Arabidopsis thaliana: one gene and its partner. The protein of the gene in region 1 interacts with the protein of each later gene in a pairwise test. Each region holds a gene or a part of one and is shown in the gene's direction. Other genes may lie near its edges.

Region 1 (7,984 bases):
TCAAAATCATGACGTCAATCCAAACTCAAAAATGACAAGATATAACCTAAGTATTGTAATATTATTTTTATTTCAAATGGTTATTTAATTGTTTTAAAGTTCATATATTATAAATATTCTAAACCCGTCTTATCATCTAATCCTGTTCTGTAAAATTAAACATTATTTTTTTTATTTTTTGTTTGAATAATATTTTTATTAAAAGATTTATAATTCACATCAATTTAAAAGTTTTATTTCAAATGATTATTTAATTTTTATAAATTTCACATCTTATAAATATTATAAAACGTTTTTCCGTTAAATATTTTAAATGTTTAATTAACTATAATATTTATCTTTTAATCAAGTATATATTAATAATGTCCTAAAATTTTTCATTTTTATGTAATTAAAATTGATGAAAATATATTAGATAAGGAAATGCTACAAATTAGGAATATTAATTAATTAATAATAATTGATGGTAATGGTATTCTTTGTAAATAAGTTTCAACTTGAGGATTTATTTGCTAAAATGGCTGAAAAATGTATATATAGATTTGTTAAAAAATATTTTATATTAGATTATTTTGCATATGAAATTATAAAAATGTTAATTACGTTGATTATTTAATTACAATAATTGTTACAATTGAGTTAATGTCGTAATGCAATTGCCAACATATGGGCAAATGATAAATTTTTATAATCAAATTTATAAACGTTCTAGGGTATCAAACCTCATTTGAATTATATTATTTGACAAATGTGGAGGTCACAAAACCCGGTTTCTGTGAGTTTTGGACCCTATCATCTAATAAAATCGTAGCTGTTGGCTTTTGGCCAGTTTTTCAATCATGGTCGTTTGTTTTGATTACGTTAATTTTGGAAGTTATCTTACCTTGATTAAATCGAGATCATCTTTTTTCTCTGATCTTCAAATCGTCGACCGTTGTTTTTAATTTTATCAAGCATATACAAAAGGTGCTCTTGCTTGATTGGTCCTTAAATATGCTCAAAAGTTCAGAGTTTTGAGCTAACTATGAATCTAAAATATGATTAACAATTATAGAAAGGTAAAATCAAATAACTATTTTATCTCTAATCAAATTATAAATCTATATATACATTTTTGCAGTCATTTTGTGAAATAAATCCTGGAGTTGAGATTTATTTACAATGGCTGCCATTACCTTTTAATTATTGATTTTTTTCCAGCAATAAATTAATTAACAAACTAAAAATATTCCAATCTCATATGTCACGCACACAGTATTCAGCAACTATTTAAAACAAAAAATGTTTGACAAACAAAAATATAATTGCAATCCCTTAAAATGAGCAAAACACACCTAAATACATTCTTTATCTATCCAATAAATCTTTTTTCTCCAAAATTTGAACTAGATTTTGGCAACTATTTAAAACAAATATTTGTTTGACAAACCAAAATACAATTGCAATCCCGTAAAATATTTATTTTAATTATATATTTAAATTAGCGGTGTACCGCGGTTTTTTTTATGGGATGGATTTGGCGAGACGGGTTTGGCAGGACGTTACTTAATAACAATTGTAAACTATAAAATAAAAATAAATAGATTTAATTTGCAAACTTTTATATATACTAATTTAAAAAATAAATTGTCTCCGCGGTATACCGCGGGTTAAAATCTAGTATAAAATAAAGAGCAAGACAATTAAATCAATGGTTAAACTATTTTTTCTAACAAAATCATTGACAAAATCTTAGAACAACAAAAAAAAAAAGAAAAAAGAAAAATCTAATTCAATTTTTAATTTACAATTTAATCAAAGACATTAAAGAACAAATTTTTAAGGAACATCATTTTTACTAATATTAACCAATTAATAATTATCAAGAAATCAGAAATTTAAAAGGTAATTGAAAATAAGAAAATCAAATCCGCATCAATTTGTTAAATACAGCAAGATAAATGATAAGATCCATTTGTTAAAATCACCATTTTTTAGAACCATTAAAAGAAGCCATCAGATTCCAAAAGAGAAAAAAACAACTACTTGCCTAGTGAGCTAACATTTTACAATGTTATGGCCTCAACGTAACTATTGTGCAGCATCTGATCAACAAAATTTACATGCTTGAACTTCAACTTAAGGTTTTTGGGCGTATAATGTAACCCTTTTATCTCAACAAAGTGAGATATAAATTAGAAATCCATAACCATCTTAATGTAATCTTCTACTCTTCGTTATTCCAATATTTCCAAAGGACTAAAAGACTGGAACAACAAAGCCACATGCGTTCGATTAAGACAGCGAAATAAATCTTTGTTAAAGTTGGTAAGATTTTCATAGTCTTCTACTCTATGAACAATAAGATCAACTACTTTGAATCTTGATGCATTGATCTAGTTAGCAAAATTAAAAAACAAATATGAATTCATTTCTAAAACACTCCAAATAAAAGCAATAACTATACATTAATATAACTCTACAACTTCATTTGCAACACCAAGTTTGTAAGGTAGAGAACAAAGTCTCTCCAGAATAGTCCTTTCATTAACCAAAATGATTTCGCGCTAAGGAGGTTATCTATGGCTCCTTTTGGAGTAAAGTGGTCCTTGTTAACTCCATTGAATAGGTACTAGATTCATAAGGATTCATTATTAACAATATATCCCAAAGTTCTTCCTACTCATGTGAATTGGTTAGAGAGCCCAATAGTCCAACAATTATCGATTTGTTGGTGCAAAACCTCATCGAGAAGACGTAGAGCTGAGATAATTACCTATTATGAAGCACCAAATTTGTTTAGTAGTCATCACCAAAACTATAATTCTAAATCTAAACCTAGAGAAATAGAAAATTTAGCGACATAAGGAGAAATTTACTAACTTGCATAGTCAAGAATGAGAAGCCATTAACACCAAACATATATATATATATATATATAAAGCATGTGTAACATAATAAAAAACCCTGAAACAAAATCAAGAGAGCGATAAAAAGAAAAGCATACTTTTGGTTCTTTTCCACCACTTCAAAGCTATAGAGATTCAAAATCGAGTTTAAAGCATAGCTATAGAAATTCATAGATTGAGAGTCAGATTTACCACAACACCAAGCCAAATTTCAATGCATAATGAGGAAGTTGGTTAAAGCGTACTTCAAAGCAATAAGGATTTAGAGAGCCGAGTTTCTTGAAAAAGCAGTATATATAAGATTTGTAACCAGCGATTTTGATCAAGTAAAGAGTTTCTTGATTTTGGTCAAGTAATGGTTCTAACATAACATATGTATAAGATCTCTAACCCGCGAGAAAAACAAATAGATCTTATGTAATTTGACTTGTTTATTCTTAATGAGGTGAATTAATTTGGACTTTGAAATTATACTTCTAATGGCATTGGTTAGTAATACTTTAGAAAAGGCAATGTGAATTTTCTAAAGGTACTTTCCTTATATTAGTATAAAGATATTTTTTTCATGAACTAAATGCATGGAGTAATAACATTTAACTATGAAATTTATTTATTTTGAATAATTATGTAGAATGTTATATATGATTTTAATTATTAATTATATTTAAATTATGTTACATTTTATTATTATAATAAAAAATATTTGGTGTAATTATACTTTCTATAATTATTAATTATATTTATTTGGTTTAATTTCGTTCAAACCGGCTGGTTAATCATTCATAAAATTTCTGTAAATGCACCAATTTTCAAAAGCTAACCATATCATTGAAAAATATTTCATAATGTTTAAAATCACAACCGTCCGTTTTACAAACTCTCGCAAGTCATACAATATCCACTGCGTTTAAACCAGTCATACCTAAAAATAGCCATTGGGTGTTACAACAAATGAAGTGAGCGGTTAAAAATTAAAACAAGCCGATTGTAAGCCACATGAAAAATCTGTGAGTTTACCAATTGTTTTGATACTGTATTAGTTTTTTCAATATAACTTTATTTGTATTGTTCTATTAAGAGATTATTAATAGTAAAAGTAATTTTATATGTTATCTAATCTCTTATATTCCTTCCTTATAACAATTTTTTTCAATTTAAAGTAACCACCTTTTTTCATTGTTATGTCATCGCATTTTCTCTAATCGCTTTTTCTATAATCTCTAAAAACATTCTTAACCGTCATAAACAACAGTCACCAATCACAACACCCGTTAATATGGGACGTTGAAGAAACGCAACAGTACACAGAATAACAAAATCAAGTTTGTCGAACGCTTTTCTGTTTCGCCGCGGTTGCGGTAGACCATTGACTTTAAACACATGATCACGCTTCAACTAAAACCGCAACAACCCAAACAAAGCACGGGTAAAAGAAACAAACACTGGACCACTTGCCTGCAACCGCAACACCCTTAGTCATAATTACAACTCTTAAAATCCCGAAACTACCCCTACTCATCTCCAATATTCTCCATACCCTACCACCACCCAAAAAACAAACCCGTATCAATCCTCGTGAACCCAATTCCTTCTTTCTGGATCTGATTCGATCTACCAGAAAAATTTCTCTCTCGCTACGTTTTTCTCATGGCATCGGATCAACGTGACACTGATTTCTCCGCTGAATCACCAGATCTAGAAGAAGACGGCGGCGGTGGCGGTGGCGGAAGAGGAGGAGGAGAAACTGAATCCGACGAAGATGTTGTTATACCCGAACCAAACGAAGCCGAAGACGACGATCACGATCCCGATCCCGATCCAGAATACGAAGATCTGAATTCTCCGTCAATGATTTCCAGAGCTCCGGCGACGAAATCATCCTCAGGAACCGTAACCGTCGCTCTTCCCGCTGGATCCGCCGTACCTGTAGCTTCAATTCCATCAGATTCCGATCAGAAATGGCACCGTATGACTGAAATCGTTCATCAGAGACCACCGATTGATGATTCACGACGTTTATTCCAGAGACTATGGACTGACGAAGACGAGATCGAGCTTCTCCGTGGCTTTCTCGATTACATCACAAACCACCGTGGTAACAGCTCTCATCCGCCTGATACGGCGCCGTTTTATGAACAGATTAAATCTAAGCTACAGTTAGAGTTTAATAAGAATCAGCTTGTGGAGAAGCTAAGGAGGTTGAAGAAGAAGTATAGGAATGTTATGAGTAAGTTTAGTTCTGGTAAAGAAGTGTTCTTTAAAAGTCCTCATGATCAAGCTACTTTTGATATCTCTAGGAAGATTTGGAATCAAACTGGGAAAATTATTGGTTTTGAAGATAATAATGTGATGGATTTAGAAGAAACTAATCATGTAAATAACGCGAATGGTAGCTCGGGTTTTAATGTCTCTGTTATCGGTAATGCGAATGTCGATGTTGATTCGGAGAATGGTTTAGAGAAGAAAGTGACGATAAGTAGAAAACGATCACGGTCTAGGATCGGGAAGATCGACGAGGATAAGCCTGTTCTTGCTCCGTGTGACGGGGTGATACCGAATGCGGTTAATCTTAACGAGAATGTGGCTGTTGGTTGTGATTTTGGTGATGGGAGGAATCTTGGAGTGTTGATTGAAGAGACGGTTAAGAATTGTGTATCGCCCATGATTAAGGAGATGATGAATAGTACGACGGGTATGATGATGGCTGCAACGGGTGGGTTTCCTGGAGGTGGTGCTCATGCTCTCGGTGTGTTGAGTCCGATGCTAATGCCGTCGATGAATTTAGGGTTTGGTGGTAAGGGAGTAGGGGACGAACGGTGGAGGAGACAACAGATTCTTGAGCTGGAAGTGTATTCGAGGAGATTAGAATTGGTTCAAGAACAGATTAGAGCCACGGTGAATGAGTTAAAGACAATGCCTAATGGAGGATGATGCATAAGGAAAGACTACAATGGGTTCTTTAAGTTATGAGAAAATGATGAAGAAAGATTATGATGGTGAGGTATAGTATTAGCAAAAGTAATAATCTTAATGAAAATTTCTGATGGTGATGAAATCTTTTTTAGGGTTTTAGTATTTTTTTTTCTTGATTGAATCTTTTTTTAATTTTGTCGATTAGGAGTGAATAACCTTTGTTCTTAGCTGATAAATTATAGTTTTTGGTAGAGTTCAAAAAAAAAAAAAAACTCTTTTGTGCTATTTATAATGTTTTTTTGTGTGATGCATATAATATGATATTATACATCTAATGATTAATGAACATTAACATGTATTCTTTTGGAGTTTGATCTATGTATTCCGAAGACGTGTCAAGTGTAGAATCTTTGGTGTTATGTCTTCTCTTCGTTACCTGTTGAAGTTATTATTATAACTCTTTGATATATCTACATATACATTTTTGGGGACGATTTGTGTCGAAAAATCCTTTTTCAATTTCGATATTGTATGGTTAGTCCCTACAAAATCAATCAGACAAAATATTTTCTTTAGGACAATAACCAAATTTTTGATAAACAATTAAGATATTGCACTAACTACTTGCCTAAACATGGATATTGTTAACTACTACCCTCATAAATTGCACAAATCAATCCCTAAAACTATACGAAATTCATTATGCTAATTTCCTAATTAACAAAACCCGGAAATCAATCATAACTAACCATATCTACAATTATTTGATTCGAAAATAATTTTAGTTTTAAATGCTAATGATATCTTACCAAAATTTATTCTTCTTTTATCAATTGCAACACAAAATCTAATTTCTGTTACCTCAAATAAACACACAATATACTAGAGAAATCTGTATTTCCGTTCTTAATTGGCTTTACGCCTAAAAATATTTAAACAATATTTAGTTTTTGATTTGAAAATATATAAATCGTATATGTAGTTATAACAAACAACTATTTTCAAATCAAATGGTTTCCTATTTGAATTCTAGAAAAAACTGTAATAATATTTTAATGTCATATCTAAAAACATAAATGTGATCGATTTCTTTCCTACAAAAATGGTAATCTTTAGCATCTTCCATAACTAATTTATATTTTTTCAAATTTTGAGTTCAATTTTTCGTTAATTTTCGTCAATCATTGTTAATATATCTTTTGGCAAAATTTCCCTACAAAAAAGGTAACCACATTAACACTTGGGTATTGTTTTTTGTTTAGATTTGTAAACTAATAACAAGCATATATTCTCAAGATATTTGAATATCAGAATATTACCTAAATTAAAATATCTAGAACATTCTAACGTCTAAATGATCCACTATAAATAACCATCTCATATCGAACAATTACCACAACCACAATTTGCCTCAGTCTAAATGATCCCTCCGAATTCTCATATAGCAAGGTATTTCTTATGCATAGCTCTAGAAATGTTTTGCTATACAGAATATTTATCAGTGCTTGTGTGACGAATTTAATAGATTGAGTTTGTGATTTTGTTGTTTGTATAGCTTTATGAGCAAGCTATTGAGTATGAGAAAGGTTCGTTAATCACTTCTAATGGAGCTTTGACGATGCTTTCTGGTGCTAAGACTGATCGAGAGATAAGCGTGTTGTTAGAGATGCGATTACTGAAGATGAGCTTGAGCTTTGGTGAGGAAAGTGAGTATTCTTAATTCTTATCTCCATTTTGATTGACAGAGTTTTTATCCTCTATTTTGGTTTATTGATTTTGGCTTTTGATTTTCATTTTAATTTTAAGGGTTTGTCTAAAATTGAAATCGATGAACATACTTTTATTGTGGTGAACAGAGAAAGAGCTGTTGATTACTTGAATTCTTTGGAAAAGGTTTACCTTATGCCTAAGCGTTAGATTCTCTCCCATCATTCTAGATGCAATATGGGAAAAGATGGAGATGTTGCCCTCTTCTTTGAACTTTTAGGTATTGCAACTTTTTAAGCCGACGTGAACGCTGAAAAAGGAGAAACGCCGAGGTGAATGCTGAGAGAAGATTCCGCTTGCGCAACCATCGGCGGAGAGAAAGAGAAACAAAACCTTTCTTCTTCTTTTTTTTTTTTTTTTTTCTATTTTTGCTTAGGAAATTTTTTTTAACGTTTCTCTAATTAGTGGTTTTGGGG
Region 2 (6,896 bases), on another chromosome or scaffold:
GGTGCTCTTCTTTAAAATAATGATAGAAGATACAAATAACATTTTATATACAGGTAACTTCTTACTTTGAATATAATTTTTTTCCCCGATTAACATTTGACTTTTCTAGTCCTAACATCTTGCAAAATTTTGTAGTACTTTAATTTTTTAAAATTTTGTCAAAGTATTTATGACCAAACTTTTGGCTCATTGATGCGTGCGTGAAAACGACTCTCGTTTGTCTTGTAATGAAATTGTCTTGGCAATTACTCGGGGAAAGTGTCTTTCTTTTAATTTATTTGTGTGAATATTGTCTAATTATTTGGGCAATTATGTTCCGTGTTTGGAAAATATATTGCATTTGTGTAACAAAGGATCGCTCTCATATAGTTTTGTGGTCTTTAATTCTGACAAAAAAAATCTTAAATATGTTTGGTGATTTATCAACATCTTCTGATTTCTCCATAATTCATTAATTTGTCGTTTACACTAAGATTCTTTCTTTTGTCAATGGATTGGCTTTGTCGTTTGTAGACTATATTCAATGCTTTAGATCCAAAATTACAAATTTATTAAATAGTCATCATCTAACTAACATTTTTGAGCTTAAAGGTTTGGTTTGAGGAATCTTTAATTTATAATTTCAAAAGGGTATCAATAGCTTATGGGTGTTACTTTTTTTTCTCTGGTTCACATTAGATGTTACAGGCTGCGGTGCGTTTGGTAGTGAATTCGACTAACATATCCTATGTAAGGAGGTGTCGATCGTGTATGTGGGAGAGGAAACGAAATTAAAGAAGAGCAGTCTTTATTTTTTATATATAATCTCCAAATTAGTGGTAATTTTTTTGATAAACATTTACAAATATTAGTACATACAAAGAGAGATAAATGTATACACAGATATGTATATATTCTAATATATTTAAATCAATCAAACCATAATAACTCAACCCATATCGAATGATAGTTTATTTTTGTTTTTTTGTCGGTACATCATAAAGAAATACTAGAACATAAGAAAAATAAAATATTACCAAATTAAGAAAATAAATCCAATCCACACTTGACAACAAAATAACCTGATCATAGAAGAGAAAATCAAAGAGGTAAAGGGGAAATAACGAGACTATAAAATATGGGAAGAAGTTAAAGAGTAGAGCTACTCCGAATGGAAAGTGTATTAGATGTGCAGAGATTCATAGAAATGGAAGAAAAATAGAAAAAGAAAACGAAAGAGAAGAAAAGTAAAGAAGAGACAAAAGCATTGAACAACGATGCTTTTGTCTTTATTAGCCTATTAACCTAAACCCCTAGAGATTCAGACACGAACCTTATTCATCTCGAATATCTCAAACCCTAAAGACCATTAAACATCATCGCTCTCTTATCACTTTCGCATTCATCATCAACTCGTCATCATATGTATGTTTTCATTCACATGGAGTTAGTCCAGAATAATAGACTGCATGCCGTTTAACGGTCTAAACAAAGACAACTTGTAGTAACGTGTTTTCTTACAAAATGACATAGCAAAATTAGCATGCATGGCTCAGGAGTTATCACATATCGTTAAAACATTTTGGGTTTGCTTTTAGCGATTGCCATTTGTCGAGTGTCTCAAAAGATTCTTGTGGCCCGTATAATGGGCTTTAGAATATCGTTCTATAAGCCCATCAAATTAATGAACTGAGTATTATTTCCGGGAAAGAAATAACGTTTTATGCAATTACGACCCAATTAACTTTATAGTTTTTTAAAACTGATGGGGAATGACCCAATTCAATGTTTTCACCCTCTCAATTGCAGCCATTAGTTAATACTGTAGTAATGTTTAGAAACTAGTTTCAAAATTTTCGTAGAAAAATTCATGTAATATTTTTAAAAATCATTCGATGTGCTGCATGCGTATTTCCCAAAAATTAAAGTTAATATGATTTAAGATTTTGTTCACAATTACTGCCACCAGAAAAAGGACGGTGAGATTAATATTTTACAGGTGAAAAGATTTTTCCAAGACAAGGTTTAATTTGACCATGCGGACCAATTTACTTACAAGGTGTCATGGTTTACAAAAGCCCGTTAAATGAGTAAATCCTGATCTGTTTGCCACGCTGGCAAAACCTCTCGCAGAGGCCCCACCAAATACTATAAATCATTAAATCTCGTTTAAGGCCCAAAAAATGATGCAGAGTTGCGATCGTAGAGAGTAGAGAACAGGGAAGGACGAGCGGTTATGTTAATCATGACGTCATCCTCTACGATTCTCACCGGAGATATAGATGAAGAACACCGCACGTCGTCAATGGCAGAGGAAGACACGCCTACGCATTCCCATCGACGGCGCTGGAGCACTCCTGTTGATTCCGGCGGCGAACCTCTTCAAAGCTTATCCGTGAGCAGATCTCTAGAGATAAAATCAGACCACGAGAATCCCGACGACGAGTGCAGGGAACATAGAGGTGTGTGTGGAGTTATTCTTGACGAATATTTCTCGTGTTCTTCGAAAAATAACAGTTACAGTTTCTATCTAGGAGGGAAGATATCGCCGTGGGGACCGTATGGACCGCCGCTGCTGACGGAGTCGAGATCAAAGGCGCCGTCGCCGCGGAGAGGAAGAAGCGTGACGAGGAAGCGAGATCTGCCACCATTTTTGACGACACTGGATTGTAACGGACGGCCGAGATTTCATCACAGGAGAGTGAGAAGCGAAGGACGGTTAGAGATTGCCAGCGTGGCAGTAGATTCACCGGAGATCGTTAGTGTTCGTGGGAGAGAAGGACTAAGAATCGGAACAGTGAGAATCAGTCAACAAAACGACGTAGTAGAAGATGATAATGAAGATAAACAGAATCACTGATCTTCCTCTTAGAATTTTGATATTTTCAGCTAATTTTCCGGGGGGAAAAAACGACATTGTAGTCCGATGATCCGTTAGAAACAAGATAAGAAAAGGGAATTATGGGCTTTACTTATGAATATTAGGCCCATAATAATATTTTGTTGCAAAACAAACCTGGGCCTGAAGCCCAAATAATTCGCTCAAGCCGACGTGTTAATTTATGATTTGTCCGTCACAGTGATACATTAAAGCACAGGCTGTGCGGTTATCACACTGTTCGCAGGAAGACTTATTTGAGAGAGTTTTACTTTTGGGGGACACAAAGATTTGGAGAAAAAGTTTACTAAAAAAGAATCTGGGGAAGTAAGTGAGATGAAGGAAGAGGAGGAGATCGGAAAACCAGCGAAACCAAAAGCCAAGGTAGTCCCACAATGACTTACATATATTTCGCTTTCCATTTTCTAGGTTCCGTTCTTTGCGTTTTTCTTCTCTTTATTGTGTTAGATGCGAACCTTCTTATAATTCCGGTCAAAGTGCATGCGTTTTTCGTGTTCTTACTGTCTTTGGAGATCTCAGATCCCGTATTAGTAGTTACTATTGATGGAGGAAGTTATACAAGGCATAGAATTCTAGGTTATCAGTTTTGGGGTTCACGATTTTTTGGTGCTTGGAAGTAAATTGTTGGTAGTTAACTTTGAAATCTTTGGTCTTGCAAACTTTGAGTCAGTCTCGTGATGTGTCGTTGCTTTCAGTTATTGCTCTAAGAAAGCCTTGGTTCTTTTCTTTAACGCTTGCTGGAGTAGTGTCGCTCCTTATTCTTGCCTTACATTATATATTTCTTCTACGCTCACAAGTCTTGTGTGGGGTTGTTTCACTGAGACTTAATGGCAGAAAGATGTTGCTCCTGGGAGGTTGATTGATACCTATGCTGCACAGTGCGATAACTGTCACAAGTGGAGGGTGATTGATAGCCAGGAGGAATATGAAGATATCAGAAGTAAAATGCTCGAGGATCCTTTTAACTGTCAGAAGAAACAGGGCATGTCTTGTGAAGAGCCTGCTGATATTGACTACGATTCTTCTCGGACTTGGGTCATTGACAAGCCTGGTCTCCCCAAAACGCCTAAAGGTTTCAAGAGAAGCTTAGTTCTCAGAAAAGATTACTCTAAGATGGATACCTACTACTTTACTCCTACCGGGAAGAAGCTCAGGAGTCGCAATGAAATCGCTGCCTTCGTTGAAGCCAATCCGGAATTCAGGAACGCACCACTTGGAGACTTCAATTTCACTGTCCCCAAGGTCATGGAAGATACTGTTCCCCCTGATCCGAAGCTTGGCTCTCCTTTTCCAAGCACTACTACCACTACTTCAGAGAAGAGCAGTGTCAAGCAGAGCCATAACTAATATGTTCTCTTCTACCTTCTTTCTGCTCCCTAAAGCAATGCGTTTTGAGTCTTTATAGATTTGATGTTCTCTAAAACTGTTATGATATTAACATCTCTAAGCAAAAAAATATGATCTTTTGTCTCTTCTTTAACCGGAACTCAAATGTTAAATATTCTTTTAATTTGGATTCTTACACCAAAGAAACACACTTATTCCTTACAAGTCCCCTCGTAAAACATTAAGTAGAGGCTACAACTCCGGGAATTCTCTCATGGCAAATCCTCATGCACCTTATAGTGAGCGGTTCCTCTTGAAGAATACTGCACGATGTCTCACAGACTTCCTCGTTGGACATGAAGCATCCGGATATGCATTTTTTATAGGCCTCCGGTTCGGTGTAAGACAGGCATTTTCTGTTGCATTTTGTCTGCAAACCCTCATTAGCAACACCTTCTCCTCCTATGACCATCATCTCTGGTTTGGACTTGGTGCGAGGGCAAACGGCCATGCAATGTTGAAAGAGTCCTTCAAAGGGGTTGCAAAATGCCTCACAGAAGGGATTGTGTTCTTCTTCTTGTCGTCCACTTGTCTCTTTCTCTATCTCCATCATCAACAGTTCATTGCACTTATCTTCACACTCTTTCTTCTTGTTGTGGATATCATGTTTACAGTTGTGCTTGCACTGTTCCACCACCAAATCTTCTACTGCACTTGACACTGTTGCACTTTCCAACACCAGAATAGCCCAAATCAGTGAGATGACTACTACCTTTGCTTTTGTTGGTATCATGCCTCTAGTCATGTTTTATAGATGTAATAGGTTATGATGATAATTTTTGTGTTATACTATATAGAGGGGTTGGTTAGTGACATGCAAGATTCTACAGGTGTTACGGGTACGTGTAGGTCAAGATTCTCCTATCATCCACTTGGACATCATGCTTTAGCCTGTGCATAGACGTGTCCAAATCCAACATAAGGAAACTCCAAAAAAATAAAAAGAAGAGAGGAGACAAGTTCCAATGACTTCAATTGATCCTTGCATTGAATTTGAGATGGTTTAAGGCAGGTGTCTTTTTCTCTTCATTTGTCTAATGGGTTCATTCACACACAAAATAGTTTCAGTGGTTTTGCAAGCTATATGTATAATCTCAAATTAGGCAAGGAATAAACTTATCATGTCATGGATAATGTAATGAGAGGAATAATTTTCCTCTCATATCTGTTATAATTTCCTTAGCATGATTTGATTCCCAATCTGCTTATAAATCATGGTAAGTGCACAACGAACCTATACATCACTTTACGTGTCTTAGCTTTGAAAAGAGGTTCTTGATAATCACATAAATTTTGATATTATACAATAAAAAAAATATATTTCAGAATACAAATTATACATTCATGTAACATGAAGAATGGAGGAAGTATGTGTATCGTAAAATTGAATTGATGAAAAAGCTAGATAGGAGTCTTTAAGACATATATGAGGTGAAGAAAGAAAAGAGTCAAAACAGAGAGGTCATACACTCATCATGCATTTGGCTACAAGCCTTTTCGCATCTTCTCGAGTCTACTCTGAATGAAAGCATGTGATTTAGTGTTTATATCATTCAAAAGAGGCTTCGGCTGTGTCACACCACCAGCTCCAGTTTGAGCTACTGATCGCCTAACGTTTAGCTCACTCGCTAAGTTCTTCTTTGAGCCGTTACTACCATTAACCAGCATGATCACCCTATCTTTCTCCGAGCTTCTTGAGATATTGATGGGATTAGCGTTGTTATCCTCGGACTCTTCTCTTTGCTTGAAATAAATTGTGATATCAGACTTTGATTCTTTCTTGATCAGTTTCTTTGTCACAGACTTATCTTCCTTGTGACCCGCACCCGCCATGAGTTTAACGAACACCAACTTTAAAAGCCGCCGAAAAAACCCTCTCTTGTTGTCATCATCATTTGCTCTCTGCATCGTCTATTTGTTTACATGAATGTCTGATTATGGTGTTGGTTTATTATTATATGAAAAAATTAGTGGGATTATGGATTTCTTTTTCCGATTGCTTTGCTTTGATTCTACGCTTTGGGGGGAAATGTGATTGTCTTTGTCTTTTCTATATCTAAGGAAAACAGAATTTATCTAGTTTCTTCTTTCATAATACTCTTTTTTTGTTTTTTGGTCGCTTTTTTAACTAAAAAGAAATTTGCTTTTGTGCAAGTTTTTCTTCCGTTGGAGCTGGAGATTCGCTTCTTTATTGAAAGATGAAGCTCCCTTATCACTGTAAATTTCGGTTGAGTGGACGAAAACTTGTAAAGATTCTTTATACACTTACAAGACTTGTTGATCTATCTATAAAAGTACTTCTCACTTATGTTTTTCACTTTTGTTATTGTCACGTTTCAATTCGCGTGAATCACGTGTTTTGATGATAGCTGTTGACTTTAATTTTGACAAAATTCTCTCGACGAAAGAAAAAGTTGCTTGTCATTGAAACGTAAGCCCCGTTCAGTTAGTCCATAGAGGAAGAGGTGAATAACTGTCGAACGGCCATGATATCATCGGCGGAGAGACCACATAAGCTCCACACACGCGTCTCAGCAATTTGAATCTCTCCACCGCAAGATTCTCTCGTTACCGAGGCCGCATCTCTGCGGATAAGTGGCCCGGGGACTTTCCTGGGTCGGAACTTGGACAA

The links. The genes of interacting proteins can lie anywhere in the genome.
Region 2: the proteins of AT5G28040 (region 1) and MBD4 interact in binary tests that used the Arabidopsis thaliana proteins (3 or more experiments, as listed by UniProt).

The regions. Positions count from the first base shown.
Region 1 is NC_003076.8:10,035,489-10,043,472, reverse strand, and holds AT5G28040 (DNA-binding storekeeper protein-related transcriptional regulator), read left to right. Parts: upstream 1-4,471; 5' UTR 4,472-4,535; coding exon 4,536-5,819; 3' UTR 5,820-5,889; exon of another isoform or gene 5,890-6,436; intron 6,437-7,356; 3' UTR 7,357-7,930; downstream 7,931-7,984.
Region 2 is NC_003074.8:23,292,201-23,299,096, forward strand, and holds MBD4 (methyl-CPG-binding domain 4), read left to right. Parts: upstream 1-3,084; 5' UTR 3,085-3,193; coding exon 3,194-3,241; intron 3,242-3,712; coding exon 3,713-4,225; 3' UTR 4,226-4,426; downstream 4,427-6,896. Other genes in the region: AT3G63020 (hypothetical protein (DUF3049)), read left to right, coding at 2,225-2,839; AT3G63040 (uncharacterized protein), read right to left, coding at 4,446-5,009; AT3G63050 (uncharacterized protein), read right to left, coding at 5,750-6,172; AT3G63052 (uncharacterized protein), read right to left, coding at 6,711-6,896. UniProt on the Arabidopsis thaliana protein: Transcriptional regulator that binds CpG, CpNpN and CpNpG (N is A, T, or C) islands in promoters regardless the DNA methylation status. Plays probably a role in gene silencing.